2 linked regions of the Danio rerio genome follow. The protein of the gene in region 2 purifies or fractionates together with the protein of the main gene of each other region. This does not show direct contact. Links are inferred from orthologs where the notes say so. Each region holds a gene or a part of one and is shown on either strand. Other genes may lie near its edges. The genes, in order: nhp2 and naf1.

Region 1 (17,744 bases), on a different chromosome or scaffold from region 2:
ATTATCTACAAATCCAAACAGAAATCCTCTTCATATTTCACGACTACTGCGAAATAAGTCGTTCTTCCAGCACAAATGTTCACCTACAGAAGTACAGTTACTCCTTTGTTCTGGTGTAATATCAGTCCTGGTCCCTTAGGATTCAAGAAAAACTTGTATAATCCAATATCCCTGAGCAAAACAACCTTGTCAATGTCGTCCATATATTTGTCATGCAAGTGATAACTCAAATGGAGTGTCAAGCATCAACCATCCCGCTTTCTGCTTTTGTCCAACTGAGGGACTGAAACCCCTCTCTTGTGCTTTTATACAAGATTTGGGTGTAATATGTGCCAAAATACAACAAACATCATGGGAGTACGAGCATTTCGGTATTAAATATTTAAGATGTCAACACCACACTGGGCCTTGTGAAATGAAAAAGACTGTTGATCAGTTTCAACACCTAACAGACTGTGTTGCCTCAGCAAACAAAGAGGCCCTACTGTACTTATGGCCATATTATGTTTCATTTAAGAGTTTAAAATAAATATGCGATAATAGCGTGGGGTGTTTAGCCTGTTTTTATATAATTAAAGTCCGTGAGGAGTAGGCTATGGAAAGTTTGGTCGCCCGGTTTTGGTAACCGCTAACGTTATGACCGTTTCTGGAAAGTCAATACTGCCACCGTGTGGAGAAATATACTGAGTTCTTATATGAGCAAAACAATGATTATTATACATTATTACCATGATTTTTTCATCGATCATGGCGCTATAGTTTACAATTATTAAAGGTAACAATAAAACTTAAGCTTACCTTTTGATGTTTGACTCTTAGCAAGCACGTGCACACATAGGCCCCCCTGACTTTTAGCTTCCGCCACAAAACGTTAGTGATATTGTCGAACTCTCGATATACAAACATTTTCTGTTGAAATCCACTTAAATTGATTGTAACAGTTTATATGCCAAACCATCAAGCGCCTGTAGCTAACAAGAAAATCATTTGAAGACAAATTAAAAGTCTCTATTAAAGGAGGGCCAAAATACTAATTAGCTATGGTTATTTTTTATTGTTAGTCAACGTTTAATAACTTTAATAATATTTAGTATTACTTATCATTTTTAGTATAAGTAAGTATAGATCACCTATTTGTATTTTTTACATTAAAACACTTGCAGTTACATACACCATACTATAGCAATATTACATTATTATATTACAAAATTTAATCAAATTGGTATTATTATTTTTTTTTTTTTTGAAAATTCTTTAGTAGACCCTTTTAGATCAGTTTAATATTTTTATAAAACAGAAAAGTCAACGTTTTATTTTTCTTTGATCATCCAAAAGAAAATTTTTTGATTTTGAAAATCACATGTACCACACCAGTAAAATGAACATACAGTTGAAGTCAGAATTATTAGCCCCCTGTTTATTATTTATTTCTGTTTCATGGAAAGATTTTCTTCAAAACAATTCTAAAATAATAATTTTAATAATTCATTTCTAATAACTGATTTATTTTATCTTGGCCATGATGACAGTCAATTTTTGACTAGATATTTCTCAAGACACTTCTATACAGCTTAAAGTGACATTTAAAGGCTTAACTAGGTTAATTAGATTAACTAGGCAGGTTAGTGTAATTATAGGCGAGTCATTGTATAAAGATGGTTTGTTCCCAAATTAAGTTTAACAGAGCAAGTACATTTTCACAGTAAAAAAATTATTAGCCCCTTTAAGCTATATTTATTTTCCAAAGTCTACAGAGAAAACCATCATTATACAATAACTTGCCTAATTAGCCTAACCTGCCTTGTTAACCTAATTAACCTAGTTAAGCCTTTAAATGTCACTTTAAGCTGTACCGAAGTTTTTTGAAAAATATCTAGTAAAATATTATTTACTGTCATCATTGCAAAGATAAAATTAATCAGTTTTTAGAGATGAGTTATTAAAATTATTATGTTTAGAAATGTGTTGAGAAAAATCTGCTCTCCATTTTGGGGAAATTGGGGAAAACAATAAAAAGGGGCTATTAATTATAACTTCAACTGTATCTAACGCAAACACACTGCATACACTCCATATGAATATAAAATATATTTTTATGTTTTTTAATGCAATTTTATGTGGGGGAAAAAGGGACTTCAAGTCTCTTTATACAGAGAGAGAGAGAGATGTCTTGGTATGTGGTTTAGTGGTATGTTACTGTTTTAATAATTTTGTTTTAATAATAGTTTTGATGTGAAGTGAACGAGATGAAAATACATGAAGCCATTAAAACATCTTCACTAAATGAGAATGTGTATAGTCTGGCACACTATTGCAGTGGTTCCCAAAGTGGGGGTCTCGGGAATATGACGGGTCGCTTGGTGATTTCCAAAATTCATTAATTTTCCTTTCGGTTTAGTCCTTTATTAATCTGGGGTCGCCACAGCAGAATGAATCACCTTCCAAAAATCAAATAAGTGTTATTTAACTATTAGAATTACCATATTTTATCCATAACCTACCGAAGATACTAATAGTACTTCATAGTTACATAAAAAAACAACAACATGCAAATGAAAAGCTATCAGCCTTTCAATAATTATTATTATTTTATAGGATCGGTGTGTTTACGTTAGATTAACAACACAGCAATAGTGTCAGCTGCAGCAGATTGATTTTATACCACCAGGTTAAACTTTGACACCTTTATGTGCAATCAACTACATTAAAAGTAAATACAGGCCACAGCTGAACTCTTAGAATGCTCTCCCAGTGGCAGTCTCCAAAATTAAACCAAGAATAGACTTGTGCTAAAAACATTGTCCACCAGTCTCTTTAGAGGAGGTTAATATTAAACTAATTAATAAATGACTATAAAAATGACATGGTTATTCCTGTTTTTGTGTTGTCAATATACTGGTGTTTATATACAGGGCTCATACGCATTTTTACTACAAAAATTCCATGACTTTTCCAGGAATTTCAAGTCAATTTTCATGACCTAATGTTTCATTTAATGTTTACATATATGTGGCAAATCATAAAAAAACGTTTAAATTGATTACAGTATATAATAAAACATTCAATAGTATCCATTCATTTTGTACCTATGTAAAATAGATGATGCTTATACATCACTAATAATGTCAGAACATGTTTTAGTAAAAACTAATCTCCATTCTAACCTCAATTATTTGCCAGTAGTTAATAACTACTTTTAGATAATCTTAATGGTTTGTTAAAATAGTAGTAGTGGGTAAAACTACTTGGATTATAAAGCCGTGATCTCACTACACTTTTCGCTCTATAGACTTCCATTCATAGGCATGCGAATGCGGCAGACCAGAAACACAAGAACGTGTTTCGCATTTTACTGCATACAAAAGTTCAAGCTTGGGGAATTCTTACTTGCCAAATCACATCAGGTTATTGCGTGAGACCAATAGAAGATCATTCAAAATAAGAAGTTTAAAATATGGAGCAAACGCTTACATTTATTAATGTCTAATCATATTTTGAACCCCGCCGCTTTTTACAGCATCACACGATGGAATTTTGCAAGCACAAGCTCTAGTGTGACCACAGCTTAGGTCGCTTTGGACAAAAACGTCTCCTCAATGTAAATGTGATTTCCATGACTTTTCCAAAACTTTGTGGGTTTTTCTTTTTTTCCAAAACTTTTCCAGGCCTGAAAAATGCCATGTCAAAACTCCATGACTTTTCCAGGTTACACATGACCGTATGAACCCTGTATATAGGCCTTTTGTGTATGGGGTGTTTATATATTTATATTTTACACTTAAGGAATTTGGGGGCTGAGGAGTCACTGGCATTGTTATTTTAGGGTGTGCAGACTGAAATCTTGAATGACAAATGCAGCACTTTGGAATAAAAGTTTTGTATGATATCATGTAAAATAATAACATTAGTAATAAGAATGCAAAACTTGGTAGAAAAAAAACAATCAAAATGTTTATTTTGACATCTTTTGGAGCTCTGAGATCAAAAATCAAATCAAGCAGTTATGAAAGAGAGAAATAAAAGCCACCAATACATCAATCATTAGAGATCACCAGCGTCAAATATTCAGTAAATCAACAGGCTGAACATTCACCGCACAGTGAATTGAACTAAAGCTTTCTTTACACAAGATCATTAACCGCCATCATACATTTGTTCCTCCTCCTTCAGATAAAAAAAGTCCACAAAGACAAAAACCAGGGCGAGTCTTGTACTGATAAACATCACACCATCCTAATCTGACGTGATATATAGTCATTGTACTTAAAAAAAAATACAAGTGAAGTGTGTTCAGATTGGTTTCGGCAGAGATGTGACCTCCTCCACACACTCATCATACGCTTCTTTATACTCATCATGGGGTTTGATCATTATGACGCACGTGGGACGCTTGGATCCGGCTGACGAGCCCAAATCCTGCACAAACACATGAGCATCTCTGAATATAGCTTTCACAAAGGTTCATTAGAGGTCTATTGTATACGCTTCTGATCAACTTACAACTTTGGATGGCACATAAGCATACGGCAGGCTTCTGTCTTCACACATGATTGGTAGGTGACAGTAGACGTCGATGGGAAGAGTGTCTCCAGCAAACACTACAATACTGAAAGAGGACAGAAAATAAGAAACATTAGGGGTTTCCAATATATTAGATAACAGAGAGCCACATCCCACAGGTCATTTCAAGAATAAAGATGAAATTTAGGCTGTGATAAACAATATTTTAAACATGACAGAAATATCTTGTTTTTAAAAGGTCACATTTTTTATGGCATTTATATTAATATTCTTAGGGTATTTATTGACAAATGTATTTGATAACATTTTAAAATAATTTACATAATATGTAATTGTTTATTGTAATACAATTAGTGCTGTCAATCGAAAAAAAAAATTAACTAATTAATCACAGTTTTTTTTTTTTGAAAATTAACGTAATGTAATGTGTATTTATATAACGCATTTATTATGTATGGCCATACACCCAAAGCGCTTCACAATCATGAGGGGGAGGTCTCTCCACACCACCACCAGTGTGCAGCATCCACTTGGATGATGCGACGGCTGCCACAGGACAACGGAGCCAGTACGCTCACCACACACTAGCTATTGGTGGAGTGAAGAGACAGTGATATTAATCACATTTAAAAGACTGAAACTTGTAATTTTGGCTATTCAAATGTAAAATTAATGTAAAGGCAAGTCAAAAAACTATTTAAATTCAAAATATAATTGTTTATTAGACTTTTTTTTAACTTGTAACACAGATTTCTTCATGTAAATAACCCACAATAACCCATCAAGATCCTGCTTCACAGCCATATTTACAGAAATGAAAACAGGCATGTTAGTGCCATTTAAGTTTCAAAACAATCAATGCCAATAAAGAAAAAAAAAATTCCAAGTTGGATTTTAAGTGGACTGCAAAATATGCCAAAATACAGGCATTGCAAATATGAAAATTAGAAAATAATAATAATAAAGTATTGAATACAAACAATTGTGCTCATTGTAAAGTTGTATTACTGTGAGTTGAGAACATTAATTATAAAGTAGAAACAATTTTGCTCAGTCCTTCTTTACATTAGGCGGTCGTGTTGAGCACCTGCCCCTGTAAGGGTCTGTGCACGGGATTGACACAGACAGACAGACAGACAGACACACAACGCGCGCAATGACAGGGGAGCCGGAGCGACTCCCTTCAGATTCAACAAGCATGACCGCGTTCATCAAATCTGCTTAAACTAAGCGTTCTAAAGTATGGCTATATTTCACAAGGATTCTGACAGAGTCCAAAGACATGCGGTACAGGTGAATTGGGTAGACTAAATTGTCCGTTGTGTATGAATGTGTGTGTGGATGTTTTCCAGAGATGGGTTGCGGCTGGAAGGGCATCTGCTGCGTAAAAACTAGCTGGATAAGTTGGCGGTTCATTCCACTGTGGCGACCCCGGAATAACAAGGGACTAAGCCGACAAGAAAATGAATGAATGAATACTCAGATTTTAATATGATTAAGATAATACTCTTATTAAGAGTCGACCAAGTAAGCAGCGATTTTTGATTACAATAAAGGACCACCGAGTCACGAAATGCAGAGGCTTTTCTTTCCATTCACCATGCGGTATCAAATTCTATTAAAACAGAAGTCGAAAGTTAAAAGTGACATTAATTGTTTTATACTGAAACTTTCCTTCAAAAAGTGCTTCCTTGGTCTTCTTATCCATATTTCTTTGCATGTTATACACACGTCGACCACAACAGGAAATAAAAAAACCCTGCAATGCGTTAATTATTTTAAATTAATTGCATGCATTACACTAATTTTGACAGCACTAAATACAAACATTAAAAAAACACTTGTATTACATTTAAAATAATAAACTATTGTAACTTATATTTTAACAATTAAATGATTAAGTTCAATTCATAAAAAATATTTTTTAATCCTGATAAAGCATACATAACGCAAACAGTTAGTCATAATTATTCGCCCCCGTTTACCTCCCCCCACCCCCATTTCTGTTTAACGGAGAGATTTTTTCAATACATTTCTAATCCTCATAGTTTTCATTACTCCTTTCTAACAACCGATTTATTTCATATTTGCCATGATGACAGTAAACAATATTTTATTTAGACTTTTCCAGAACTTTCAAGTACATTTTCATGACGTAATGTTTCATGTAATGTCTACATATACATGGTAAATAATAAGAAAATCAATGACGTTCAAATTTATTACAGCATATCATAAAACACGCAACAATCTATTTTGTTTAAATTTATTTTTATGTGAGCAAGTTTTTGGCCAAGGACAGAAAGTAAGACAACTAACCAATATTGAAGTTAGGGCTGCACAATATATCGTTTTAGGAATGTAATCGATATCGCAGTGTGTGCATCCACAATAGTCACATCCCAGCATATGCAATGTTGGAATTATAGTTTAATTATAATGGAGTAGAAGTTTATCATCTGCACGCATCTTTAAAGAGATAGTTCACCCAAAAATGACAATTTTCACAAGAAATGCTTTGTAACTTTATTAAAGATTAAATAATATGCAATAAAGACTATGCAGTGTTTATTATTCAATATCTGTACATGAATAGTGAATACCTGAAAACTATCATTAGCTTTTATCTTTATTATATTTTATTTATCTATGCATGAAATTAATTTGTTATATATTATTCAAGATTCCCCCCGGTCAATCCAAATAAACCTGTAAAATCATCTGGCAAAATTGTATTTATATGGCAATATATATCACAGAAACACAAAATATGGTAATGTCAGATTTTTTCAATATCGCGCAGCCCTAATTCAAGTATACAGATATTTGTTAAACTACTTTCTATGATTCTTCCAAAACTTTGTGGGTTTTTCTGGTTTTCCAAAACTTTTCCAGGCCTGGAAAATGCCATGTCAAAATTCTATGACTTTTCAGGGTTTCTATGACTGTATGAACCCTGGTTTGTTATGTAGAATATCGAAAAAATATATAGCTTAAACGGGCTAATAATTTTGTCATTAAAATGGTGTTTGAAAAATTAAAAACTGCTTTTATTCTAGCCGAAATAAAACAAATAAGACTTTCTCTAGAAGAAATAACATTATCAGACATACTGTGAAAATTTTCTACTCTGTTAAACATCATTTAGACAGGATAATAAATAAATAAATAAATAAATAAATATCTAATATATAATATAAGGGGCGGCTAATAACTCTGACTTGATTTTCAGATTTCAGGCCTGCTTGATCTCAAGTCATAACTCATAATAACTTTTTGTCTGACTGAAGCCATATTGTGTCTGATCAGCAAACTTTGATCAATGACAAAAAAATCAAAACAATTTGAATGTTACCATACAAGTTCCATGTTAACACACTTACCCATTTTAATACATAAAACTTGAGAAAATTTTTCAAATATAAAAATTCACAAAGACGAAAGCTATTATTAAATTTCATAGTTGAAAATATTTTTAAATACATAATATAATTAAATTTATAAGTGCATATAATCTATATAAATGGTAACAATTTCTTAATTAAACGATATTACATTTTACAAACAAAATACTGAAGTAATTTCTTCATGCAGAAATGATTCATGTGTAGACTATCATAACTGTTAAAAGAGGGAATTTAACTATAACTCAATGCTAAAACAGCTACTATAACATTGTTTATCAATATGTTGACCTTTTTGGATTCTCAGAAGCTATAGAAATGAAAACATGTCAAACAGAAAATACATTGGGACTAGGCATGGGATGACAACTGTTTTCAAGGTTTACCGCGGTTTGGAAAAAGTCCAGGTTTTAAAACATTCAAAATTTTCATGTATTTCATTCCTAAGGTATGTGTAAGATTTTTTATTTACGCTTTTTTAGGCCAACATCTTCAGCAGAGTAGATATCCAAATATGTCGTTTTAAATTGTAGAGAAATTTGTGTTTTTGAAGGCAGCAGAAGAACGTGTTTTTTTTTTTTTAGACATTTAAAAGAAAATATTTTAGAGTTGTGATCACAAAACTGTGATATTTCTATCTAAGGCAGTGGTTCTCAAACGTTTTTCATCAAGTACCACCTCGGAAAAAAATTGTCTTTGCAAGTACCACCATAATGAGCAGTTTTGAAATACAGTAGCGTATTAGGTCTAGTAAAGCAGCTTAAGCTCTGTACAGTTTAAAAAAAGAAATAACTCCTGGTTTGTTAGCACCTGGAAAAGTTGCCTAGACCTCATAAATATAGGCTTCATGTCATCATATTCGTATATAAATCATTTTTGATAATTTCTTTAAATATATGTAGCATGTACATATTACATATTTGATTCATCCGCGTACCACTAGAAGAAGGCCTGCGTACCACTAGTGGTACACGTACCACAGTTTGAGAACCACTGATCTAAGGTTATCATAGCATCAGAATTCTAAACCACCCATGCCTAATTGGGACCATTGTTATTGTTTACGTCCCTCAAAATGGTCTAAAGTTTCAACAGATTCAAGGATATTTTTTAAATAATTTAAATAAAATATACTGCTAGTTTTCTAAAACTAATATAGCTTTCATATACTATAACCATAAGTTAAAGATATATTTACACTATAAAGGGATAAATCACAGGGAAAAAAAATAATAACAGACTCTTTATTCTCCCTCAAGTTTATTCCTTCTGTTGAACACAAAAGATATTTTGTAACAAGCTGAAAACATTGACTACCATAGTAAGAAAAACAAATGCAATGGAAGTCAAAATATATTTGTTCAACCGAAAAAATTAAGTTAAACTGGTTTGGAACAAAATAAAAAGTGAGTAAATTATGAAAATATAAAATAACTTTTGGTTGAACCATCCCTTTAAGATGATCATACTGCGTACAAACTGAACCAAATACAACATCATGAGCTCAAATAGTTTTGTGAATTTTGTGCATTTCTTCGTGTTAAATTAAAAATTAGTATTATTCTTTGTCTAGTAGTGTAGTCAATTTGAAACTAGAATGAACTTTTTAAAAGGCTAATATGGGTTAAACCCTGGACTGATCAACCAATGGGCTTAACAAATACCTGAAAAAACCTTAATCTTACCCAGTCTCTCCTTTGTTGATAAACTTCTGTACTTCTTTGACTCCTCGTCGGATCTGTTTAACTTTAGCCGCTAAGAAAATATAAATATAATAATGAATAACACTCATAACCAATGAACAAATGACTGCAACCACGTGTCTGCAACATATTAAACCTACAGACAGCGATATTTAGTATACTTTCATTCACACTCGCAGGCAATAACGTTACTCTTTATGAATGTTAAAAACAAGTTCTGAACACGTGTTTACCTTTCTTGACGCATTTGTAGAGCTTTTTGCTAAGTTTTCGCGATGCTAGCGGGTTTGCGATTGGGTTAATATTAGCTATCAACTCTTGATATGATTTTTCCGTCCCTCCGGTTTCTTCTTCCCCGGCTTTCTCCTTCTTTACCTTTGTCATCTTTTGTTAAAATGTACACAAATATACTTTAGCGATTAACTTAAGGCTGATAGTGTTGCAGGCACAGGATGCAAGGCACAACACACGTGCGGTGACTATAAACGTATTTCCGGTGTTTTTCGAACACTGCAGTATTTCCTCCATAGAGTCGAATAATACATAGATGCCGCTCTCGACGGTGAAGTCTAGATACAGCTGCGGATCATTTTTGTATAACAATAATATTTTATTAGTAATATATTTTTAATATATTGTATAACACTGTATAACAATAATATTTTTACAGTATTGTGACGGTTGAGTTTAGGGGCAGACGTTAATGAAATACCATTTATTTATTTATAATAAATAAGTGCGGCAAAACGGCCGTTTTTACATCACTGTATAAGCTGGCTTTAGGGTTGGGGCAGACGCTAATAAAATACAATAAATAGGAAACTTAATAAACAATATAAATGATTACTGTTAATTTCCGGCCGCAACCGTATCTGAGCTAGAAACCGCTCCAGACTCCGTCCGCCAACGGTAAATTTAGCTTGCACTTACCACTTCGATTTTAATTTATAAAGAAACTGGACATTTAGAGGGGGAAATGTAGGTATTTTATAATGGCATCTTAATTCATGGTTTTATCAGCAGTATTGTGGGGAAATCATTTTACAATCTAAAGTCATTTGGAAAAATTAGTTAAACGTGTTTACTTTTCAAGAATGTATATGTTATTGTGAAAGATTACTTTTTATTATACACATCAACTAATGCATTCGTGTTGCTAAAAATACATTAAAATCTATTGTAGATATATTCACACTTGCTTGTTTTTACAGTCAACTTCTCGAATATTTTGCTCGTTACATGGCAGAATCTAAAAGAGGCATCTATGTATCTACATCTAGAATGTCGTGTTTTTGAGTTGTTTTAAAAACACTGACCCCTAGTGCACAAAATGAACAAACGAAAAGAAAAGACTTTTATTCAGTCATCAGCCTCACACATCCACTCAAAACTAAAGAGTTTCCATCATTTACAAAAAAAAATTGCATGAGTAAAAACTCAGCTTAAATGAAAATGTAAATAGATTACAGTTTCAGTTCTTCTTCTAAGCTACAAAAAATATGTAAACTATCAGGGCAAACTATTTCAAACAGAATAAATACATAAATATTTTTTATGTTCACTTTATCTCCCAAATAGCACGAAGCTCATTTGCACTTTGGATGCATATCTATATATAATGTGCATTTCTCCCATCCAAAAGAGAAAACGTTTGTCTTTTGTTTTGGATACTGGTGGCCTTCAACACTTTACACATTCAACAACTTTCTGGAAAGGTTACAATAATGCTATATGCATTAAAATTAGTGACCATGAACTAAACGTTTGCTAAAGGTTTACAGCATTTACTAATATCATGGACAATGAACTAATTAGATATACATCTACTAAACATTACCATGATGAATAAACGCCTTAAACATGATTGTTCATTGTTAATTCATAACCAAATCCTCAACTGTTGTTAAACACACATCATCAAACTGTAGTGTTACTAATATTCTCACCAATCTCATATGCTGCTTTTCCCTCTAAACTAGTATCACATACGGAATCCACTATAATAAAGGCGTAAAGTGCATTTCCCGGGTCAATTTAACACTGCAACACACAAAAAGACAACCTTTCCAGACATTAAATGGGCACTGGACATTGTGTAAATCAGGGGTTCAAAACAAAAACTGGTGTAGAAGCTTACAACAACAAAACATTTATAAATACATATAAATAACCATTACTTCAAAGAGTAAGTCAAACATGTAGTCGTCTAGAGATGTAAGAACAATAGCATCGTACAAACTATGAATGTACAAAAGCATTAGCGGGACAAGAAGTGAACCAAAGTCCTGTCACCGCTCTTGAGTCTTGACAGCGATACCCACGAGGGCATGGCGAATGGTGCGTCCGTGCAGCATGTAACCGTCTTGCTTGACCATGGCGATGGTTCCAGGCTCCGCGCCCTCGGCTGGAGTATGGCAGACGATTTCGTGCTGATAGGGGTCATATGTGGTTCCCACAGGGGTCATCTTCTCCAGTCCGTGCTTGGTGAAGATGTCCTGCAGCCGCTCCTGAATGTGTGCCAGGTTTTGTGCCAGCTGCTGTGCTCCATCGCTCTCCTCAACTGTTAAGTTCTTCTCCAGAAGGTCTGCCACTTCTACCAGGTCACGGCAGAAACTCTGAATCCCTGCAGGAGGACAATTATGCTTAATGTGGGACTGAGAGATTTACGAGACACCAAGGTATGCGTGCATTAAGTGTATAGTTAGTTATACCAAAAAGTTTGGCGTCCTCGACAAATTTCTGTGTTCTTCTTCTAACATTGTCTGAGTCTGCAACGGCTCGCTTGTATCGCTCCTGTGAAAAGCACAGTTAATTAACAATTGACAAAAACTAAATTAGAAACAACAATTAAACATTTAGATACAATGTTAAAAGTGAAGGCCAATATTCACTTGTTAAGTCGTGACGTATAAAATACTGTTTCCGGGTCCAGGCCGCTAGTCATTTGAAAGGAGAAAATGTTAATTTGTGCCCAATTTTAAGTCATATCACACATTAAAATGATTTTTATATGCAACAATCTCTGGACTTGCTGCATCACAGTCACCAATATTTGAACAATTTATAAAAAAATGAATCACTTTCTAGCCATTTGATATTAGGCATGGAACTAAATATTGCAATTGTGATTTTTGAAAGCATGACATCACTTTGCAAACATTATCAAACATTATGCTTATCCTTGCCATTTGTTGAGTCTCCTCATTCAGTCTAATAGAGCAATTGGACCTGGAAGCCACTTCATGTGACGTCACATTAAACAAGCAGATAATTCTGATTTGCTTATTATCTGGTACAAATCGTATAAATATAGCAATTGTAAATATAGAAAATATCAAGCATTTATAAACAAATGCTGTACTACTTATTATAAATGTCAAGCAAGCAAATTTAGATTCATGCCAAATTAGATAAATCAATACCCCCACAGATTAAAGATTAGGGCTGCACAATATATCGTTTCAGCATCGATAATCATTCGCAACAGTTCCATTGCAGAATATAGAATGTATCATTTTCATGTGTTTTTTTGAGGCCTGTGACTACATTATGATTTTAAAAGAATTCATGGATGATAAATTGTACCGTTTGTCACTTTATTAATGATCAATTTTACTGTTTTAATAATTTGACAATTACTGAACCTACATACTGTTAGACTCTGGAAAATGATAAAACGTTATTTAAATTGTAGCTTTTTTATTGTATTGATCTATGCTTTTAGATGGTTTATATTTTATTCAGAACTAAAAATATATATTTTATTATAAATATATTTTATTCAGTCTAAAATTACTAATTCTTTCTAAATAAAGATAAAAAAGTAATCTGGTGAAATGGTACTCAAAATGAAAATCAATCTTTTGTTTAAAATTTTTTTTTCAAAATAAATATCGCAGAATTACAAAATATCAGAGATTTTTCAGATATTGTAAAGGCCTAATATATATGTTTAATAAAATCTATTTAAGATTAAATATAAGAATATAAGATGTTTTTTTATTATAATTTAAACTGCAAAGCTACTTTTATAATTGAATTAATGTCAAGGAAGCAAAACATCTAGAAAATCTGCACAAATTTGGATTGATAAATTATTAAATGAAAAACCTAAACTTAAACCTAAATAATAAAATATAATAATATAACATTCACAGCTAAGGATAATAAAAAATCTAATTCCATTTTTGTTTAGATTCTGTGTTTTTAATGTGTCTTGATTCCATATTTATAGTAAAAAAAAAAAAAACAATTTTAGAAATCTTAATCAAAACATTTACAACTAACTGAAATGAGCTCTGTTCAAATGGTAAATTACGGTTACATAGATTATCATTGAGATGGAAAACACACTGTGTACTTATTACTTAAAAAACAAAGTTAAACTATTATTATTAATAATACTGTAAGAACATTCTTGTGAAGAATAATAATATATCTCTGTCACAATAAGTTTAATGGGTAGTTATGAAGTTTAATAGACTTTGAGTGCAAACAAGTATTTTGCCCCAATATTTTTATTATTTATCCAAACTTTGTCCAAACCTTTGACATTCCGAGTTACACTGATTGTAGTTATGTAGTAGTTGATCATTTTAGGGTGAAGAACCCTACATGGTAACTTCATTGACATTGATTACAACGTTTTTTTTTTAATAATCCCAGTAACACTCCACGGTTTTTCCAAAGAGTGCCCTACAACGGGTTAAAGAGTGACAGAGTTGCCTCAGCTGAAGTAAAAAAAATTAGTGTGAACTTACGGTGAGGTCGTGAACCTGCTCCTCCAGTTTTCTGGCTCTCATCTCAAGGGTCCGGACGTGTGTGACGGCATGACTGTGGTCGTCATCTCTGTCTTCACCATGGCAGTCGTCACCAGCACTACGCTGCTCTGCCGCAGTGCTAAAGAGGCCTACAGCAGACCTGAAGCCATGAAACAAGAGAACAGCTGCTAAACACTCACTCCTTTCACGTGTAGTATAACGTTACACATAACCTATATATTCTACAAGAATGCCTATTTTAATACAAAGACTGAGCTACTCAGGTTTCTGCAAAAAACAACAACAACTATAGAGCGTATTTGACAAAGAAAATGTCAATAAACAACAACTACTATATATAGTTGTTGTGTAATATATATAGTTGTTGTTTAATGAGTTGTCTGACTCCAAAGTATTTACAGTAGTAATTAAAACAGAATCTTTGATTTACACTGACTGTAATAATACACATTATTTCAGGAAAAAATAGATATGGTTATTGTACATTTTATTCACATCCACACAACTGTTACTTAATAGAACAATTATACTAAGACTGAGCAATATGGCAAAAATGCAATCTCGATAATTATTTTCCATATTGAGTGATAACAACATATATTTCGATAGAAGTTGCTAATGCTTCCAGATTTAAAAGAGTATCCTAACAGTGACTGAAGCCACAAAAATTTGAGGGTCTGTTAAACGCCCTAACATATTCTTGGCCGATAAATCTTCGATGGCTGAGAATTCTATGCATCTCTACACATTTTTAGATTCCCATCGTTGCACGCTTCTGCTGTGTAATTGGTTCTTAGATCATATCAGCTGTGATCTTATCATTGTCATAGATAATTTTCTTAATCGCAATTCGATGTAATATCGTATATTAGCCCAGCTCTAAGATATACTACTTTAAAAAAGAAAAAATAACCACAAATTAACACTAAAAAAGTAATAATACACTCAAAATATGTGATTTTGCAATCTAGGTCAGTTTGGATGAAGAGTATTGTTATTTTAACAATTATCAACAATATTTCTTAAATGTACATATGCTTTTTTTGTTTGAAATTCAATGTCACTATTGAATCACAATGCAATTAAATAGTAAAAAACTAAATTTATGAAATCTAGGCTACTAGTCCTAAACAACATATAATAATCTGCAATGCTTTCAAGCAAAATAGATTTTACAGGTATAAATCCAGCCTTTAAGAGGTGTTAGATATGGGGAAAAATCTAAATGTACAACTGTTTTTCCACATAAATATTACTCAAAATGTATATATATTTTTCCCCACCAAATCAACTAAACCTGCTCCATATACAAAGATTTTAGAAATTATAGCATTTACAAACACTTGATCAAGTTAATTATGGATATTTTGAGGACTTGGCGCATTTGAAGAGTGCAATTCACTAATTTGAAAATATTTTGTCCGTTTTTAGAAAATATAATTTTTCTCTTTCAGATCAAAAGTAAGTAAATTTGTTAAAAAATAGACAAAGAACCCCAATTCTAATTTTGTTCCAGTGTTTTAGGTAAACTGTGGCCACAATCATGTTAAATAACAAGTACTATATTTAACTATAAAGAGAGAAGAAAAATGCCCACAATTAATCAACATTTTCAAGTGTGGGTTTCCACTTTGGTTTGTATAAATACACATAAAGATTTTGCATAATGTTGTTAAAAACAATTAAATAACAAAAAAAACGAGCAAGCTACATAAAACACGCCATATAACCAATGTAATAAATTCTTACACCAGTAATGATGTTTAATGTAGGTTGAATTTGATCCAAAGGATCAGACGTGACTGCAAATGCCTAAACAATAGGAGGGCTGATAACATATGACCGGCTAGCATCAGTAAGACTCAAAGAAAATTAAGTATGCAATAAAAGCCATTCATCACCATGAGTAATTACAGGTTTAATTCGTGTAACGTAAATCTGTGAAAGCAAATGAGCCGTGGGATTGAGGATTACCCGAGTGAAAGTAAACACCAAACAAACACTTCTTTACAGTAAACAGGGGAAAGAGAATACGTTTTCCACAACATCCGACAGTGCCTTAGTGTATATTATAATAACAGTGTTGTTGTTATATTTATTAACCTGTGACTGCGGAGGATAAAGCGTGTACGTTAACATTTAAAGACACAGATGTAGCGTTACGTGTATAGTTTTTTTTTCAATGTGCCAGATGCGAGTGCTCGCGAAATCTTGCCAAATACCGTAAAACACCATTCAATCACAAAGTGACTAGCTGTTAACACATCTTGGCGTTTGTAAAGCATTTAACTGATATTGGTTGTATGTTTAAGTGTTGTGAGCTGTGGTCCCGGCTAAACCGTTAACTCGCTCGTTAGCCTGTTAGCAGCGGGGCTTCCCCGCAACACTTTAAACGGTCAAAATGACGACACTATAAACTAAAACCTAATTTTCCTCACATAAATCGCACACTTGTATGAATGTTTTTCGGTAAACGTCTTTTTACCTGGTGACCGCACTTGGTGTTAACCTGCACAGATCGATCGGATTTCTTCTCGTTACGGACAGAAAGCGCACGGCCATTTCCTCAGTCGAGTATCTGTACGGGTGGTCGGAGCGCGTGACATGCTCGGTGAGTCATGGTTCAGAATCAGTGAATCGACTCACTAAGCGACTCTAATGAATCTCTCTTTAAATGATTGTGCAAAAATAAAACAATACATCTGAAAATTGTTATTGTAAAAGCACAGAATTAAACGGATGTAGGTTTTTTTCTTAAGTGCCGTATTTGGCTGGTTAAATACTGTACTGGACAACACTTAATAATAATCTTCCTCACGGGGTTGTAATCCTTTTCTACACGTGCCCCAAAGGCAAAGACCACCCACCCAGATTCACAGGCAAGGCAACTCGGAGACCCCTGACATGAAGTAGCAGGTTTGGTAGACTGTATTTTATTTTACAAACGCGTCGCTATCACATTACGCATTAAACCAAAAAGATAAATAAATATATAAGCATATAATTTATTTAGTATATTTAACCTGTCTTATGGAACGGACCCCCTGTAGTAACCTCATGAATTTTTAATGGTCTGAGGACCCCAAGCTGACACCATAGATCTAGTTTATAAATTTTCACTATTTTCTCATTATGGCAAAACATAAACTCGTAAATTACAAACTTAAAGCAAGCTTATGTTTTGCAGTTATGCGGAAAAAAGTCAAAAAGTACTAAAGTTTTAAATATATAAATCTGCGATATTGACCTTTGACAAAGAACAGCAAGATGAAACTACAAGTATGTTAGAAAGCCAGAACTGTGAGAAATTTGCAATTGTAACTTATTTTCTTCTC
Region 2 (16,937 bases):
AAACATTAAATAAAAGTAAAAAGATATTATTTTTTATTTCATATATTAAGGTTTTAGTTATGATACTCCCAAAATAATTCCGCTGAAATCCGCAGACTTTTACCAAAATTTTCTGCAGAAATAGCAAAAAATGATTCCGTTTGGCCCTAAACTTTTACTTATGACTTTATTCTTTAATTTTTTATATATGTTTTGTGTGTTTTTAATTTGAAATGCTTTAAATTTTATATAATGTCTTTTATTGTCCTTATCATCATATTTATTATTGTTATTGTTATGATTACTATTATTATTACCTAATTAAATGTAGAATTTATTTTATTTTGAAGTTACTTTTTGTTGTCATTTGTTTTAGATTAAAAATAGGATTACTTAAATATAATATTTATTTATTTTTTTATTTTATGCATGAATGTTAGCTTGTTAAAAGTATTTTTTAATGTGAAATGAATAAAAATTCTTTTAAATTCAACATTTTGGTCCTCACAAAAAAAATCTTCCTCATGTCATTTCAAACATGTAAGTTTTTAAAACAATTCTGCATTATTATTATTATTCTAATTATCTGAAACTATTTAGAACATTTTTTATCAAATACATTTCCATTATATTATGGAAGTCACTGAGAACCACAACTATTTAGTCAACAACATTCTTTAAAACAATTTTCATATTTGATGTTACTATAGATTTGGAACAACATCAGGAAATTTCTGGGTGAGAGGTTACTTAAATTTTGCATTCCATAAACATAAAAAAAATGTTTTTATTTCACAGCAGTCAGCTAAATCAAAGCCATTTTGGGAGTATATATTTACATTCCAAGTGTGATTCGGGTAGATCTGGTCCTTCATCCTCCCAGCAACATTAATTAAAACAACATGGAGGCCTCATTCTGAAACTCACGGGCCGTTTAGGATCAGACTGGGCAGATGGCCAAGAAAGACGTGACTACACAGCAATGCAAAACCCTAAAAAGAAGAGGAAGAATTTTACCAGTATGCGTAAACATAACTCATTTTATGAGAAAAAACTTCTAAAAAACAGTTACATTCAATCCCTTAGTGTCTTAGGCTGTATTTAGAACAAAAAAACAGCTCACTGCTTACTGAATACTGCACACTGTTGAGTAAACGCAAGTGAAATGGAATTCATTACTTCACAATGAACAATCGCATGCAACACGGAAAGCATTTTTCCCCATTCAATTTTTCCCCTTGGGTTTTTTTTTTTTTCATTTAGCAATGCAAGTGATTGGTGGCGTTTTCAGCACAGCATCTTGGGTAAATGAAGTTTTTCTCCATATTTATCTATTTATTTATCTATCTTTTTATTTAATAATTAAACATGTTTGAAGCACAGCAATTACTAACTGAACAAAATACATAACCAAACTCAACTAGTGACATTTTTAAACATTACAAAAGCACAACAAAGTACTTTAAATAAATAAATAAACAAATAAAAACAAAGCTGAAATGTTAAAAAGATATATTAATAATAGGCCTATATAAATAAAAACTAGAATAAATTACTGCGCACAATACACTTATGGTGGCAGCACTAATAAAATAAATTGGCTGTAGTGTATGTATGTAAATGAGTGTGTGGATGTGTCCCAGCACTGGGTTAATTGCAGCTGGAAGGGATATCCGCTGCTTAAAACTTGGTAGTTCATTCCACTGTGGCGACCCCTGGTGATTTAAGGGACTAAGCCAAAGAAAAATGAATGAATGAATGAATGAATGAATGAATGAATGAATGAATGAATGAATGAATGAATGAATGAATGAATGAATTGATTAATTAATTAATGAATGAATGAATGAGTACACTTACGCGGTAGAAATGTATGAATGTATACGTTTGCAACAGCATTTTCAGCCACAAAACACAAACATTACAATACTACACACACATTAGGGACCATTTATTTTGTAAAACACTAGTAAGGGGACAACAAGCTAACATATAAGTCAAAATGGTAAACTCACCTGTAGTTTATTGACTCATTGTAACCTTAGAGTACATATTGTATATACGCAGTGGTCATTGCTTTAACCAAATACCACAACAAGGAAATGGCGTTTACTTCCGTCATTAACAAACAACAGCTGGCTGAGAGACATTTCGCCATTTGCAGGAGCTCAGTATCTTTGTTTTGCCTAAAATATTCAGATTGTAGGAGATCCGTGTCAGCACGAGGAAAAAAAGCGCGAAGAGCTGCCACTCTCTGTCACAGAAACCTGATGGCGTTGCCTGGCAACCGAATGGTCCAAGGAGGAAACTGAATCACTGCTGAAACAAGGCCAAAAACGTTCCCCTCAAATGACACGCCAAACAATGATGAGCGGAAAAGCACGAAACTGATGACTGGTTCGGTTTTTAGTGTTAAAGTTTCATACTTAGACAGCTGGCCCATTTACGTAATGTTTATTTGAGTTCCAGTTCGATCATTTTCTCTCCCTATATTATATAAACACAGCAAAACACCATTATGAGGTCAAAGTCAACAAACGAACAAAGACAACTTTGTAGCTGCTATAAATGAAGGCTAATCGACGAGTTACCGTATATATACTCCTAGATTATGTTTAATTAAGACTTTGAATATCAATAGGATCTGAAAGGGGCTAATTTATATGCAAACATTTCCAAGTAACGCCAATGTGTGAATAGTTTGCGCACGTTCCAGTCATTAACAGAAAAGGTAAGTAAAATTGGTGGTCATTTTGTAAGTTAATTGATAAATACCGAAATAAACCATCTGGTGTAGCCTAAATATATGCTAAAATAAACAAGATCACTTTGTTATTCAGTTTCTCTGGGTTTACACATGTTTGAGTAAAATAAATGTTTGGTTGCACTGCAAACTATTGATGACATTTATTTGATGCTGTTCATGCTGAATTTAAAATAAATTTTAATTTGGAACATAACATTATTACTATTAGACAGTTATAAAATGACCAAAATTAAAAATTTATTTGAGAAGACATGAACTGTCAATTGGGTTGTACCCTTTCAAAAGGTACACATTTTTACCTAAAGGGTCCATATTGGTACCTCAATAGTACATAGTACCTATACATTTTAAGATAACACTTTTATACTATTTAGTTACCAATACCTTTGAGGTATTAATATGGACCTTTTAGGTACACATTTGTACATTTTGAAAAGCTACCACCCCAGTGACAGCTCATGTACCTTTATTTCTGAGAATGTAACATCTTTATTAAAACAAACATTTCCAAAAGTAAATAGTAGTGTATTTAAATTCTAAAATAAATCTGCCCTATACACCTAATTATAACCAGAATATGCTAATGTAGTGGTTCAGACATGGCTGAGACATGTCCACATTTTCCATCAGGTGCCCCATATTGTACAGAAGCCAATGAAAGTGCCAGTTCCCAGATGGATTGTGTGGCCCTGGGCACTGCCAATCTGCTGGAAACACACTGCAACCTTGAGTCCAAACGCATGAGATACTGAGGTCAGAATTACACTTAACAAACATCAGAATAAAAGAGCATCCCTGGACACTCATAATGTCAATAGGAAAGAGGACATAGGATCATGGGATAGGGCACTGTTTGGTTAAAAATTGACTGAGGGTGTCATTTTAGATTATAACAAATTTAACTATAAAAATCCAAACTTGCAGAGGGACTTTCATTGTTTTAGTTTTATTAACAAAAGATTTATTAAATGCTAAAAACTGTACAATATTAAACAATGGATTATATTAAACATGAACAGCTCTGAGTCGAACAGACTGAGATCCAATGTACTAAATATCAGCTTATGAAGTAAATTAATTCTACTCCAAAGCTATTGAAGCCCAGAAGCAACTTAATGCTGCTGTAATAACCATAATGTTATAGTAAAACATAAGAAAGTGCAGTTATATTACTATATACTGGTCATTTTATCACCTATTTAACAGTATTGTTAGGAAAACAAGAAAAAACATTCACTGCTCCTGGCTGAATAACTGACACTATAGCAAGTTACCTGAAATAAATCAGCACCATAATTGAATTTGCACAGAACCTGTGCAAACTGTAAACAGAATATAGAAAGTAATTGATTTTCAATGATGTTTCTTATGTGTTTCAAGCATCTGTCCTTGTTGTGTTGTCACAAACAACTCAAACTTAATGAAAAATACAGTTTATTAAATTTCACTGTAACATAATCATCATTTAAACAGATCTGCGTGTAGAAAGAGACACTAAAAATGAGAAATTAATCATTTTTAATACATTTTAAAAAGTGCACCATGAAAATATACAGTTACGATTGATCCACACTATACACTTGTATACAGATACATTAGTATACAAAGATTGTGATTGCATTTAGGGCACAGACAGTGATTCAGTCACAGGTTTACTGATAAGGAGGTGGTGGAGGCGGAGGTGGGGGCTGGAACATAAACCCCTGATTGGGCCCTGGGGGCCACGGGGCCATGCCCATGTGATAGGGTGATGGTCTGGGAAAATGAGGGACCATCGGGCCCTGATAGGGAAACATCTGTGGATCCGGATGAGGAAGCATGTATTCAGGTGGGAACCGAGGGTGAGCGTGGAAGTTGCTGTGGAAACCGCCGCCGCGATTGTGGTACTGCCCGCGAGGGTGGTTGCGGTTCTGTCTGGGCTTCCTCCGGGCAGCTTTTTGAGGCATTTTTTGGGCGTCTGATTCATCCTCTGATAAGACAATGAAAAGAATAAAAAGTAGCGCTATTACACCGCAACAACATGGGCATAATAAATGAAAAGAACGGTTGTGGGTGGTGGAAGGAAACAAAAATATCCCCTTCAGTCGACAACCAAACGCGGACAATACATTGAGAGTAATTGAATAGATTACCGAAAAAAGGAAAGTATTCATTTAAATGATCTCTTTAGGGTGGCCAGGAATCTGCACAACATAACCTTAATTACCAGTAAATCTTTCAAGAAAAATACAGGAAGCTTACCTTCCTCCCTGAACACAAGGTCAAAAGTAATCAAATAAATAGACAGGCCACCCCTACAAGCTCAAACTCTCAAAAAGTAGCAAGCATACATGGACATTAGTACAAGAATAAATGTTGGTCGTTGGCCAGAGAGGAAGGGAAATCCAGAAGCTTTCCACTCCCAGCAATCATCGCACCAGTTCCCTTTTCTAGGTGGCCGTGACCAGCAGCCAATCCGTTAGTTAGCATATCGCTACACTGAGCCATGTGCACAAGCAAGATTCTGAATTTAGCTTGCAACATCATGTCCCATGTCACTAAAAACACATTTTATTTAAGTGTCACTTTTGCCTATTGAGTGTGTAACTGTTTTGAATGCAAGAGGTCTGTTAGTAATCCTTTAAACATTTTTGATCATTGCTTAAGCGTTAACATTTTGTATATATCCTAATGTTCACATCTGAAAAGAAAAGACAAGTTTTGTTTGCTCACATGAACACATGCATTTGCCAGTGTGTGTATTTATTGCCTTGATGTATATTGGTGTTAGTATTGAATCAGTAAAATGTCAATCGATGATTCTTTTTACAATCCTACTAGCCTTTTATTTACAGTTAAAAACATTTGCACATTTGAGGAGGATTTTGTTTGTTTGTCATCCTGTCATGCCTGTAACAGTAAGCCACTGAAGTAAACGTCACATTATTTATTATTGATTGTAGGGTTGGGCGATGTTGACCAATTTGGCCTAATGCCGATGTTTCTAATGTTTGATGGAAGGAAACAAAAGAAAACAGAAGGGACGGAGTGACAGAGTGCGCACGATGTGTCTGAAGAGCGAGAAGGGATCCGAGGGTGAGAAGGGTGCGCGACTTGTTTGAGGACCAGGAGGGAGCAGCGCAATTTCCGGGGGATTATCACTCGTTTGCAGGCATTATGAGTCCCGCAAATACAAAGAGACTCCCAGAACTTCCGGGAGTCTTGGGAAGTCTAAATATCACGTTTAACAACTATAGAAGAGACACGATCCAGCAGTACATCCTTGATAAACTGTCAGACGTGCACTGCTCTCTGGAGCTCAGAGGAGCACATAACAGTGTGTGGTTGTGTGAGGTTACATTGTGTGCGAATTAAGCGGACAGAGGGCTGTTTAGAAAAGCTAGGTAAAACACGGTGTGGATGTGGATCATTTTCCTTCTAAAATGCTATTTTAACACCAAGACGTATTAGTGTAAACGGGCCGTGAGTGTGTATTTTCGCGAACGGGGGCGGGGTGGAAGATCGGCGATGCCGGCTCAGCATTGTGTAGTCTATTGGCCATCAGCGATGGACGATGGCATCGTCAATTGTCCCAACCCTAATTGATTGATGAATCAATAATGTAAATAATGACAGACTGTGGAAATTTGAGTAAACTCATATCCCTATTTCCAATTCAAATTACACAATAATTCCAGCAATGTTCATTATGCTTTAAATGGAGCAAATGCAATGTGTATTATATATTATGAGAATATTAAATGTATATATACATTATGACAAAATTAGTGCTTGGTAAAGATGAATAGCATGCAAAATAAATGTTTGCTTTGACATAATATTAATGTGTGTGTTGTGTATATATAGTATGTATTCATAAATACACACATGCATGAACACATTTGAGAAAATATATATGACATTTTAGAGATAAAATGTATGTGTATATGATAAAGAAAATATATTAATTTAAATATCTGTTACAAATAGTTTTGTACAGATTTGTTTATATGCATGCATCATATCTACATAATAAATAAATATATTAAAATAAATAAATAAATAAATAAATAAATAAAAAAAATATATATATATATATATATATATATATATATATATATATATATATATATATATATATATATATATATATATATATATATATATATATATATAAATTATACACACACTGTCAAAACAAACTATTATTATTATTAATATATTATAATTAAAGTATTATATTGATTAATTGTGATAATCAAAAGAATCGCACCCAGCAAAAGACAAAATGTTCAAAAAATAAATAAATTCCAACCCTAAATGGTTGTAAACCTATTGTTGGAGTCCCCAAAACAAAAGTAGTGCCACTTTATTAAACCATTTGACCCACCTGAGTCTGAGTCGTTTTGTTGGCGCCTCTTTTGCTCTTTCAGCTTCTGTTTAGCCAGCCTCTCTTGCTCATCATCACTAAAGTCAAGCGCCTACGCAGACACAGAATAAAACCCAATCAGCAGAGAACTAAACAATCCGTCATTAACAGATAACACTGATGACACATTAGAGCAGGATGCCACGCTCTTCCACACAGATTAAACCTGCGCTGACCTGATTTCCTACATAATTGTCATGAAAAGGCACATTTACCTCAGGGGGAGGTTCCTGGTCATTTTTCCAGGAAGCATCTGAGCCTTTGAGCCTGGTTTGAGAGGAGTTATTTGTTCATGTTAGTGGAAAAATAACACAGGTATCAAAAGAGCATTCGAATAAATAAAATGAATGTCATGAGCTACTTACGTCTTGAGTTTGTCTGTGAAGATGTAGTCTGTGAAATCTTTAAGCTTAGGGGCGAAGTACACCGGGTCTCGAACTTTAAGGTCTTTCTGTTCAATGTCGTCATGGGAGTTGAACCGTAAAACATAAAAGGGCTGACAAACCGGCCCGAATATTTCAAAGACCTGAAGAGAAATCAACAAGCTGATTATTCCCCAATATATCTCTGAAAAACGGCATAGTACATATTGACACATTGCTAAACATTTGGAAATAAATTTGACTGATATTTACTACCGACCTTGCCGACAGAGTTTCTGTTTTTGCTGAACAACACACTTTCTTCATTCAGTGGTGGTAAGTTCTTGTATGACTCCACGATCACTAATCACAAATAATCCATTTTTAGTGCTATAAATCTAGCTAGTATGCTTGCTATACCATAAATATATACCCATGTGGGGTTTGGCAGATGTCTGAATACCTAATTGATCCACGATGCTTGATATTGTGCCGATGGGCTCCATTTCTGTATCTTCTGGAAGGCTGATGATCAAGTTTTCCACTGCAGGAAGGTCCTGCACACAAGATATGCCACATGTCATTATCATTTATGTCTAATAATAATAATAATAAGGCATTTTATTTAAAGGCGCCTTTCATGACAATCAAGGTCACCGTACAGGACAGCTAGAACAATCAGTTTAAATTGGAAAACAATAAAAGTCAATAGAATACAATACAAATTTTAAAAATGCAGTCGGGTTAGAGAGAATAAACAGATGTGTTTTGAGTTTGGATTTAAATAGAGAGTCTAAATTACGGAGATCAAAGGCAAGTGAATTCCAAAGCTGACGAGCAGAGTGGCTGAAGGATCTGCTCCCTATGGTGACAAGGCGGACAGAGGGAACAGTGAGGTGAATGGAAGAAGAGTGTTCAAGAAGATGTGGCGATATGACCAAGATTAGCAAGGTATGGAGGAGCAAGATTGTGGATGCTTTAAAAGTGAGAAGAAGCATTTTATAATTAATTTATTCGGAAAAAGATAGGAAGCCAGTGAAGCGGTTGTAGAATGGGCGTGATGTGACAGATAGAGGGGGTTCTTGTGATAATCTGGGCTGCAGCGTTTTGTACCAGTTGTAATTTATAAAGAGTTTTATTAGGGAGGCCAAACAGAAGGGAATTACAGTAGTCCAAACAGGATGTGACTAAACTATGAACAAGAATGGCAGCTGAATGCGATGACTGCTATTAACATTGGTCTCGGTTGGTTCAATCACAAGTGGACGTGTCGGGCACAATTAATTCAGGTCTGATTATGCAATAACAGCCTGATTTTGGCACATATGGGAATGGGTATCAGGACGCAAGAATCAATAGTTTGCTCTTGTATGGTGTGTCATAGTGCCGTGCTTCCCAACCCTGTTCCTAAAGGCACACCAACAGTACACATCAGTACAATCAAACACACCTGAATCAACTCATCAGAACATTGGTAGAGACTCAAACCTTTACTGAATGGGTCAGATAAGGGAGACATCCAAAATATGTGTTGTTGGTGTGCCTCCAGGAACAGGGTTGGAAAAGACTGTCATTGTGGACAACAACAAATTTTTTTTTTTTTTTTTTACTTCTCCATGAGGGGATTGGTTGTTTGTGTGACACTGATAACCTCTTAAGATCTTCTGTACATGCAAAACATTCAAACATAGGGATATAATGGTTTTGGTGCTGCTAATTGGAATTATTCAATGGAGTAAAAGTTCAAGATAATTGAATAACAAAGGAGTCAGTATAAAACTTGTCGTGTTGGTAACACTTGCTGGTTTACAACACAAATGTAGGAGTAAAAAATACAATTAAATTGCATATTTTTTGTTAAATTACATAATCTGACAATCGCCCTTATAACAGACAGAAATATAGTGTAGTCAAGCTTTTGCACAGTTTAATTACATATAATTTAATTAGAACTTCAATGTAGAAATTGTTTATACAGCCAAAATGGCATTGTAGAATATTTATGCAAAAGTATTTAATAATTAAATGTCAAATTAAGTGATGCATCATATTTGCATAATACATATATGTTTGTTAACCTCAATAATTCTCTACTCAAAATGAATTTATTTTTCCACAGAAAAGACTTGAAACATTAAAGCAGACACCCAAGTTGAATTTAATACCATTTGTATGTATGTAAAATCTTATATAACATATCCAATGAAGAACATTTTTATTAATTAAAATAATTAAAGATGTGTGAAGGATTCAGATGCAAAAGTGTTCTTTAACTATAAATAAAGGCAATGAAAATAACCTATTATTTCTCATAATAGTGAAATAACTGAACATAAACATAGGAGCCTGAGGAAAAAGATTGTTTTCAGGTGGCAATGAAGAGTTTTTGGACTCTTTGCATATTATTATGTTTATTAATAATATGGTGGAACACAATAAGAATTTGGTAACAGACTACATCAGTGTTTTGCAATAATGTTGTATGTTTAAAACAAGACTATAAATATATTTTTAGGTTACGTCACCAACTATATATTCCTAGATGACAAAACTCCTCTGAATTACACCTCTAATATCACAAATAAGTAAAATAACTCACAATCTAATCAAATACACTGGGAAAGATGGAAACATATCAGCTTGGGTTCATAAATTGCTGTTGGAAAAGAAGAAAAATCTTAAAACTTACATCAATAAGCAGCTCATCTTGTGTTTTGACCGGTGCTGACTTTTTATTGCCCCCGGCAAAACCTTCATCATCATCATCATCTTCTGCTTTATTCGGCATAATCACTACCTCAAAAGGCTCAGAGGAGGAAGACGAAGAGGAGGATGAAGATGAGGATGTGGAGGATGAAGAGTCTGAGTCACTAAATAAAAGTAATAAAATAATTTAGCATTGAACATTCCTGGGGTGGGGGTGGGGGGGTATAATTGAAGCATCACAGTTTACGCATACGGTATTATCCAGATATTGACCTAAGGATCTAAATGAAAGCACACCAGGTCACACTTTTACATTAAAATTTCATTGGTAAACATTAGTTAATGCATTAAAATCAGCAGTGAGAAATAGACATGTATCATAATTATAGAGTTCATTTTAAAAATGCAAATTAATTGTATTAGTTATTAACTCCATTTGATGAAATGATTACGACTTTTGATTTTAATGCTATTATATGCATTAATTAAGAAATTAACAACACCTAAAAGATAGAAAAATGCTTTTTTTAATTGTCATTACCAGGCAATTTATTTTTATTTATTTATTTATAAATACTCATTTATATAAAAATGCAACAGAATTGTGGTAGTTATTAACTCCATTTAAATAAAAAATACAACTTTTTATTGTAATGTGCAATTATGCACCAACTATGAAATGTTTTTGTTGTTGTCATTACATAACTGAGGTTAACAAAAAGAGCCTTACTGTACAGTGTTAATACACAAAAGGCCTATAAATGAATACATTTCACAGTTTTAGCTCGGATTAACATGTAAAATTGTTTGAAATCAAGCATGTATGCATTTGATGCTGTGATGAACAACTACTAATACTCTACAACACATTAATACATATTCTTCACTGTATCTTGAAGTGCCTACCATACTCAATGTGTGCATGGACATCATTACAATATATTGAGTATATGCCTAGATGCTATAGTGTTTAATGTCGCATGATTTTACCTGTCAGAACAGTTGTCATCCGAGCTGTTTCCTCTGTACTGCATGCTCAGCAATGCCAACGATCCAGTGCCAGACTGTGGACTGACCACAGTCCCATATTGCATCTCTGCTGGACCAGACTGAACACTACAGATCTGTTCATCGATTGGTTCAGACTTAATATTGGAGCTCTGATCTGCCCGTCCAGACTGATCACTGGTTAAAGCATCTCTTATTAGTGCAGGTTGACCACCGGAGCTCTGATCTTCTCCTGTGAGTCCAGCATGATCACTGGTAAAATCTTCTTCTTTTACAAGTTGATGTTCTGAATTCTCTTTGCTAGATTGTTCAGGCTGAATGCTGGAGATCTGATCGTCTCTCTGTTCACTGGTGCATGGTTCATCTGTAGGTCCAATTAACACATCTGTGTTTTCAGTCTTGATATCCAGTTCCATTTCGTCTTTTTTAGATTTGGTCTCATCTTGATCCTGGAAAAGAAACAAAATTTGTGCAAGATATAGATGTGAAAAAATAGCAATTATTATTATTATTATTATTATTATTATTATTAGGGATGCACAATATATCATTTCAGCATCGATATCGTAATGTCATCATTCGCAAGTCTGGATTCAAATTCATAATTTTGCAAGTGATTTCTAAGGCGTGTGAGGGTTTTAAAAGCATTAAGGCCTAAGAAATTGTACCATTTGTACCTTTCTTAATTTTATAACCATCACTTTTATTGAATTGTTTATAAAACAAAGACCAAGTGGTATTATTTTTCTTTTGATTATTCAATTACTGTATACCTGAATACAATTTCATTCATTTTCTTTTTGGCTCAGTCCCTTTATTAATCAGGGGTCGCCACAGCAGAATGAACCGCCAACTTTCAGCTGCAACCCAACACTTGCAAACAAAAAAACACTGTTTATTTCATTTGAATCTTTTTCGTTATTGAACTCATCGACGCTGTTAGATTGTTTTTTATATTTTATGCACTTCCCTACAAAATCCACCCAAATCAATCTAAAATTATAAAACCATTCCAAATGGTTCAACTCATTTAGTAAAATTGTATTCATATCGCAGAATAAAAAATTGCAATATGAGAATTTTGCAATATCATACAATCCTAATCAGTATTATTATTATTATTATTCAGCATGATATTAACACCGTAAGAGAACATGTGGAATAAAACATTTTCTATTAAACTGATGTGATTCTCTTATGTGAGTGCACATGATCTTTGTCATTTCTCAAAGGTGCTGATGGTTGAATTAATTCTAATGGTTATTATTATATTTAGGGGGAAAAAAAACATTGAGTGTCTCTTTAAGTAATCAGCATGCAAGATTAAAGTTAACTCAGCAGGGTGGCGGTGTTACTGATGCCGTGACTTGCAATCTAATATATATTAAAAATCTATTTAAAATCTGAGCTGCATCTTCCTCTAACCTTACTAAGTTAGTCTACAGCTATTCATGCTTGATGCACATGCTCAATTATTCATCACTCAAGTTTAAATTATAAATGCACATTTTAGAGGATACAATACATATATTTAGTACCTACCAAGTGTGCCACAATGACTGTGAATGATAAGAAACACACATACGCATATAAAACATCCTTTACCTGGCTGTAAGTTGCGTTTTCTGTACTTGAATTCTCCATGTTTAGCTCTCCATGTGTGAACAGCATGAAGAAAGCGCTTCAGCTATGATTCTACGTCATCGGCTACACGTGAACAGGAACCGAAAAAAGCCTTTCAAAATAAAAGCCACAATATCTGTTGATAAAACAAAAGTTAAATGTTTAAAATATAAACAAAATAAGCGAACATTTGTATAAAATTTTATTCAACAGTGCCAAGCTAAACAAAATTTCAGTCATTCATTAATTACCAATACATAGCTGAAATTATACGCTTATGCGAGTCGTATGTTTGAAAAAACAATCTCCTTCGAGCCGGATTCGAACCAGCGACCTAAGGATTTCAGTGATAATCCGCTACAGTCCTCCGCTCTACCAACTGAGCTATCGAAGGGTATGAAATGACGTCAGGAGCAGCGGAATTAGTCGACTTCTTATGACTAGTAGAAACTCAGTTAGAGATATCTCTAATTACAATTGACTAGTCGAAATTCATTTAGAGATATCTCTAATCACAATTGTGACTAGTCAAAACTCATTTAGAGATATCTGCAAATATTTTTCAATGGAAGTCAATGGAGGAATATGACCAGTCACAATATATTTGCAGATATCTCCAATATGATTTCGTACTAGTACAAATGTAATTGCAGATATCTCTAATTGTCATTCTGACTAGTCGAATTATAATTATGACTAGTCAAAATATAATTAGAGATATCTCTAAATATATTTATGGATAGTCAAAACAAAGTAGTAAATGTTAAAACGGCTTGCCATAGACGTCTATATTCCGTGTCTATGCTGATATTTCGGTTAATCCGTAGTAGTTTGTTTGGAAGTTGACAGAGATTTCTGAAAGTATTATATTTCGCGGGGCTGTTCAGTGTTCATAATCTTAAACCAGGGCTGCCCAAGATCCTGTCCCTGTTCCCCCGTCTAAACTGAACCGCACTTACAAAAATGGCTACAGAGTTCGTTTCAATCAACCCCGAAGTCTCTAATGTGAACACGTTATTATTGTAAGCTGTATAAACCGAAGTAAATAAAGACACTCCTTCGAGCCGGATTCGAACCAGCGACCTAAGGATGACAGTGTTATGATACCGCTACAGTCCTCCGCTCTACCAACTAAAATGTACCACCAATAAATGTACTTTTTTAAAAATCTATATTAATATTTGATCTCTATTTAGGTTATATACCATTTAATATAACCAAATTACTGGCTGCTGTAGTATTAACAAGTTACCAGCAGATAGCGCTATTGGGCTTCACAAAAATTCACGAGGCTCAAACTACAGCTGTGCGCATTAAAACAGCACATCTGAACCCTTGTACATTAATTTCTTTTGAGCATAAATAATGTCTACATACACACTTACCATGATTTTACACGTTCAGAAAATGTCACTCAGTGTAACAGTTGCTTATTAGCAGAAGTGATGGTGGCATAATAAAGATGTTTGTGTTTTAAAAGGTCAAAAGTGTTGTGTATGTGTTTTGTTTTACATATTTTATCACGTGAATGCATTTATTCTTTTTCAAATTTATTAGAAACCTTAAGGTAGACACTTTACTTGAATTTAATACATTCTGTATGTATATATCGCTTTATTAGTAATTTAATAACAATTAATTTCACACCAATTTGTCCAAAATAAATATGTATTATTAGTATTATCATTATAAGTGTGAAAACACACACAAAATATTCTGTCAACAGAACAAGACGATAGAGATAATTTTTCCATGACTTTTATAGGACTGTCAAGTAAATTGTCATGACCTATTGTTTCATGGAATGCCTATATATATATATATATATATATATACACACAACAGTTCTGTCTGGTTCTCGAATCTGATTGGTTGATAGTCGTGATAAATTTAAGTAATATCAGGATCCGTACAGCTTCTTTACCTTTTGTGTATTACTCCGCTCACATACAGCCAGCAAAAAGCAGACACAACAGATCTAAAGTTTAAAAGATGCTTGTTCAGCTGTTTAACTGTCAGCTTATGATTTTAATCCAACGTGGAAGAAAGTAGTTCCTCATACAAAAGGGTTTTTGAGACTCTCCATGTTTGATTTTGTTTTTATATACACAATTATGCCGTCAAACTGTTGTATAAACGCAATATCACACGAGTAGCAGTGTGATATGGCTGTATATCGGCACTGGTGGGGGCACTAAGGCAACACACGCCTCCCACCAGTGCCGATATACAGCCATATCACACTGCTACTCGTGTGACATTGCTTATATATACACTTCATAAATAATATGAAAAACTATGCAAGCTCAAATCCATAAAACAAAAAAACAAATCTATTTAGTTTGAATTTATTACATAAATCTATTGTATGTAAAATGTATTTAGATAGTGCTTACACATGGCGGTTCATTCCCACAGTGGCACCTCTGAAATTGAAAGAAAATGAATGAATGAATGAATAAATGCTTATGCAGCATTCCTAATGTGAGACCATGTTTTTGGCAGAGACAAGAAGTAAAGACAACTAACCTATGCTCAAGTTTACAGATATTATTGTTAAACTATTTTCCATGACCTTTCCAAAACTTTGTGGGGGTTTTTTGTGTTTCCCAAACTTTTCCAGGCCTGGAAAATGCCATGTCAAAATTCCTTGATTTTTCCAGGTTTTCCATGACCGTATGAACCCTGTAAATCTATATTCACAGATGTGGAACTCCGCCTGTTTCTAAACCCTAACATTCACCTCTAATTTTACTTATTGATTATTATTGAGTAAATCGGCAGATGTTCTGATGCTTTAGTGAGGAATCAGTAAACAACGTCATCCTTAAATGAATGTATGTGTATTTATATAGCACATTTATTGTAAATAGTCATACACCCAAAGTGCTTAACAATCATGAGAGGGGTCTCTCCACACCACCACCAGTGTGCAGCATCCACTTGGATGATGCGATGGCAGCCACAGGACGACAGCACCAGTGCGCTCACCACACACCAGCTATTGGTGGAGTGAAGAGACAGTAATAAAGCCAATTCGGTGGATGGTGATGATTGGGAAGCCATGATGGGCAAGGGCTGAAGGAGGGAATCTGACAAGAACACCAGGGTTACACCCCTACTTTTTACAAGAAATCCCATGGGATTTTTAGTGACCTCAGTTTAACGTCTCATCCGACTACGGCACAGGTGTCAAACTCAGTTCCAAAAGGGCCGCAGCTCTGCACAGTTTAGTTCCAACCCTAATTAAACAGACCTGATCAAACTAATTGAGTCCTTCAGGCTTGTTTGAAACCTACAGGTAAGTGTGTTGGAGCAGGGTTGGAACTAAACTGTGCAGGGCTTCGGCCCTCCAGGAATTGAGTTTGACACCCTTGGACTACACTGACAGTATAGTGTCCCCTTCACTATACTGGGGCATTAGGACTCACACAGACCTCAGGTTGAGTGCCCCCTGCTGGCCTCTCTAACAGCACTTCTAACAGCAACCTAGTTTTCCCATGTGGTCTCCCATCCAGGCACTGACCAGGCTCAGCTCTGCTTCAGCGAGTATCTGCTCTGGGCTGCAGGGTGATATATTATATAAATAAAACTCCAGTAAACAGAGACAAAAGCAACACACACACACACAAATATCAGGAGGTCATGGAACCCCACAGTGGTTTAATCCTAAAAAATATATGGCATGATTGACAACACAACCTGGTTCAGATGAGAGAATCGAATTTAAAAAAAAGTTTGAAAACAAACAAAAAAAAATGTTACGCAGTTTTTGCTGTGAGAAAAAACTCAAACGTTACGAAAACCAGGACGACTGGAAGAAACGAAAAAAAAAAGAAAAAATTTCGGGTTTATTTGAGTCACATCTGAAGGTTTCCAAAAAAAAATATATATATCATTAGTCACGTTAACACGGAGATAAACAATGGCACATATTGGATCTCTAATTTAAAAGTTAAGTGGTGCTGTCATATTTCAGGAGACAAAAGTTAAATAAATTACTACCATTAACATACACATTTGAATATTATATACAAAGGGAGTTATTGGAACAAAAATCTACAATTCAAATTTCGTCGTCAAC

What was found.
Region 1: the proteins of naf1 (region 2) and nhp2 purify together in Homo sapiens (affinity purification with western blotting; 3 studies listed by BioGRID and IntAct, with this or other methods). This does not show direct contact. The link is inferred for Danio rerio from reciprocal best matches to the Homo sapiens genes NAF1 and NHP2.

Annotation. Positions count from the first base shown.
Region 1 is NC_133196.1:33,046,307-33,064,050, forward strand, and holds nhp2 (H/ACA ribonucleoprotein complex subunit 2-like protein), read right to left. Parts: upstream 10,146-17,744; 5' UTR 10,013-10,145; coding exon 9,862-10,012; intron 9,681-9,861; coding exon 9,611-9,680; intron 4,607-9,610; coding exon 4,501-4,606; intron 4,417-4,500; coding exon 4,291-4,416; 3' UTR 3,926-4,290; downstream 1-3,925. UniProt on the Homo sapiens protein: Required for ribosome biogenesis and telomere maintenance. Part of the H/ACA small nucleolar ribonucleoprotein (H/ACA snoRNP) complex, which catalyzes pseudouridylation of rRNA.
Region 2 is NC_133179.1:10,562,368-10,579,304, reverse strand, and holds naf1 (H/ACA ribonucleoprotein complex non-core subunit NAF1), read right to left. Parts: upstream 12,922-16,937; 5' UTR 12,902-12,921; coding exon 12,836-12,901; intron 11,680-12,835; coding exon 11,213-11,679; intron 10,387-11,212; coding exon 10,206-10,386; intron 8,074-10,205; coding exon 7,980-8,073; intron 7,880-7,979; coding exon 7,797-7,879; intron 7,681-7,796; coding exon 7,520-7,680; intron 7,422-7,519; coding exon 7,370-7,421; intron 7,207-7,369; coding exon 7,116-7,206; intron 4,716-7,115; coding exon 4,399-4,715; 3' UTR 4,164-4,398; downstream 1-4,163. UniProt on the Homo sapiens protein: RNA-binding protein required for the maturation of box H/ACA snoRNPs complex and ribosome biogenesis.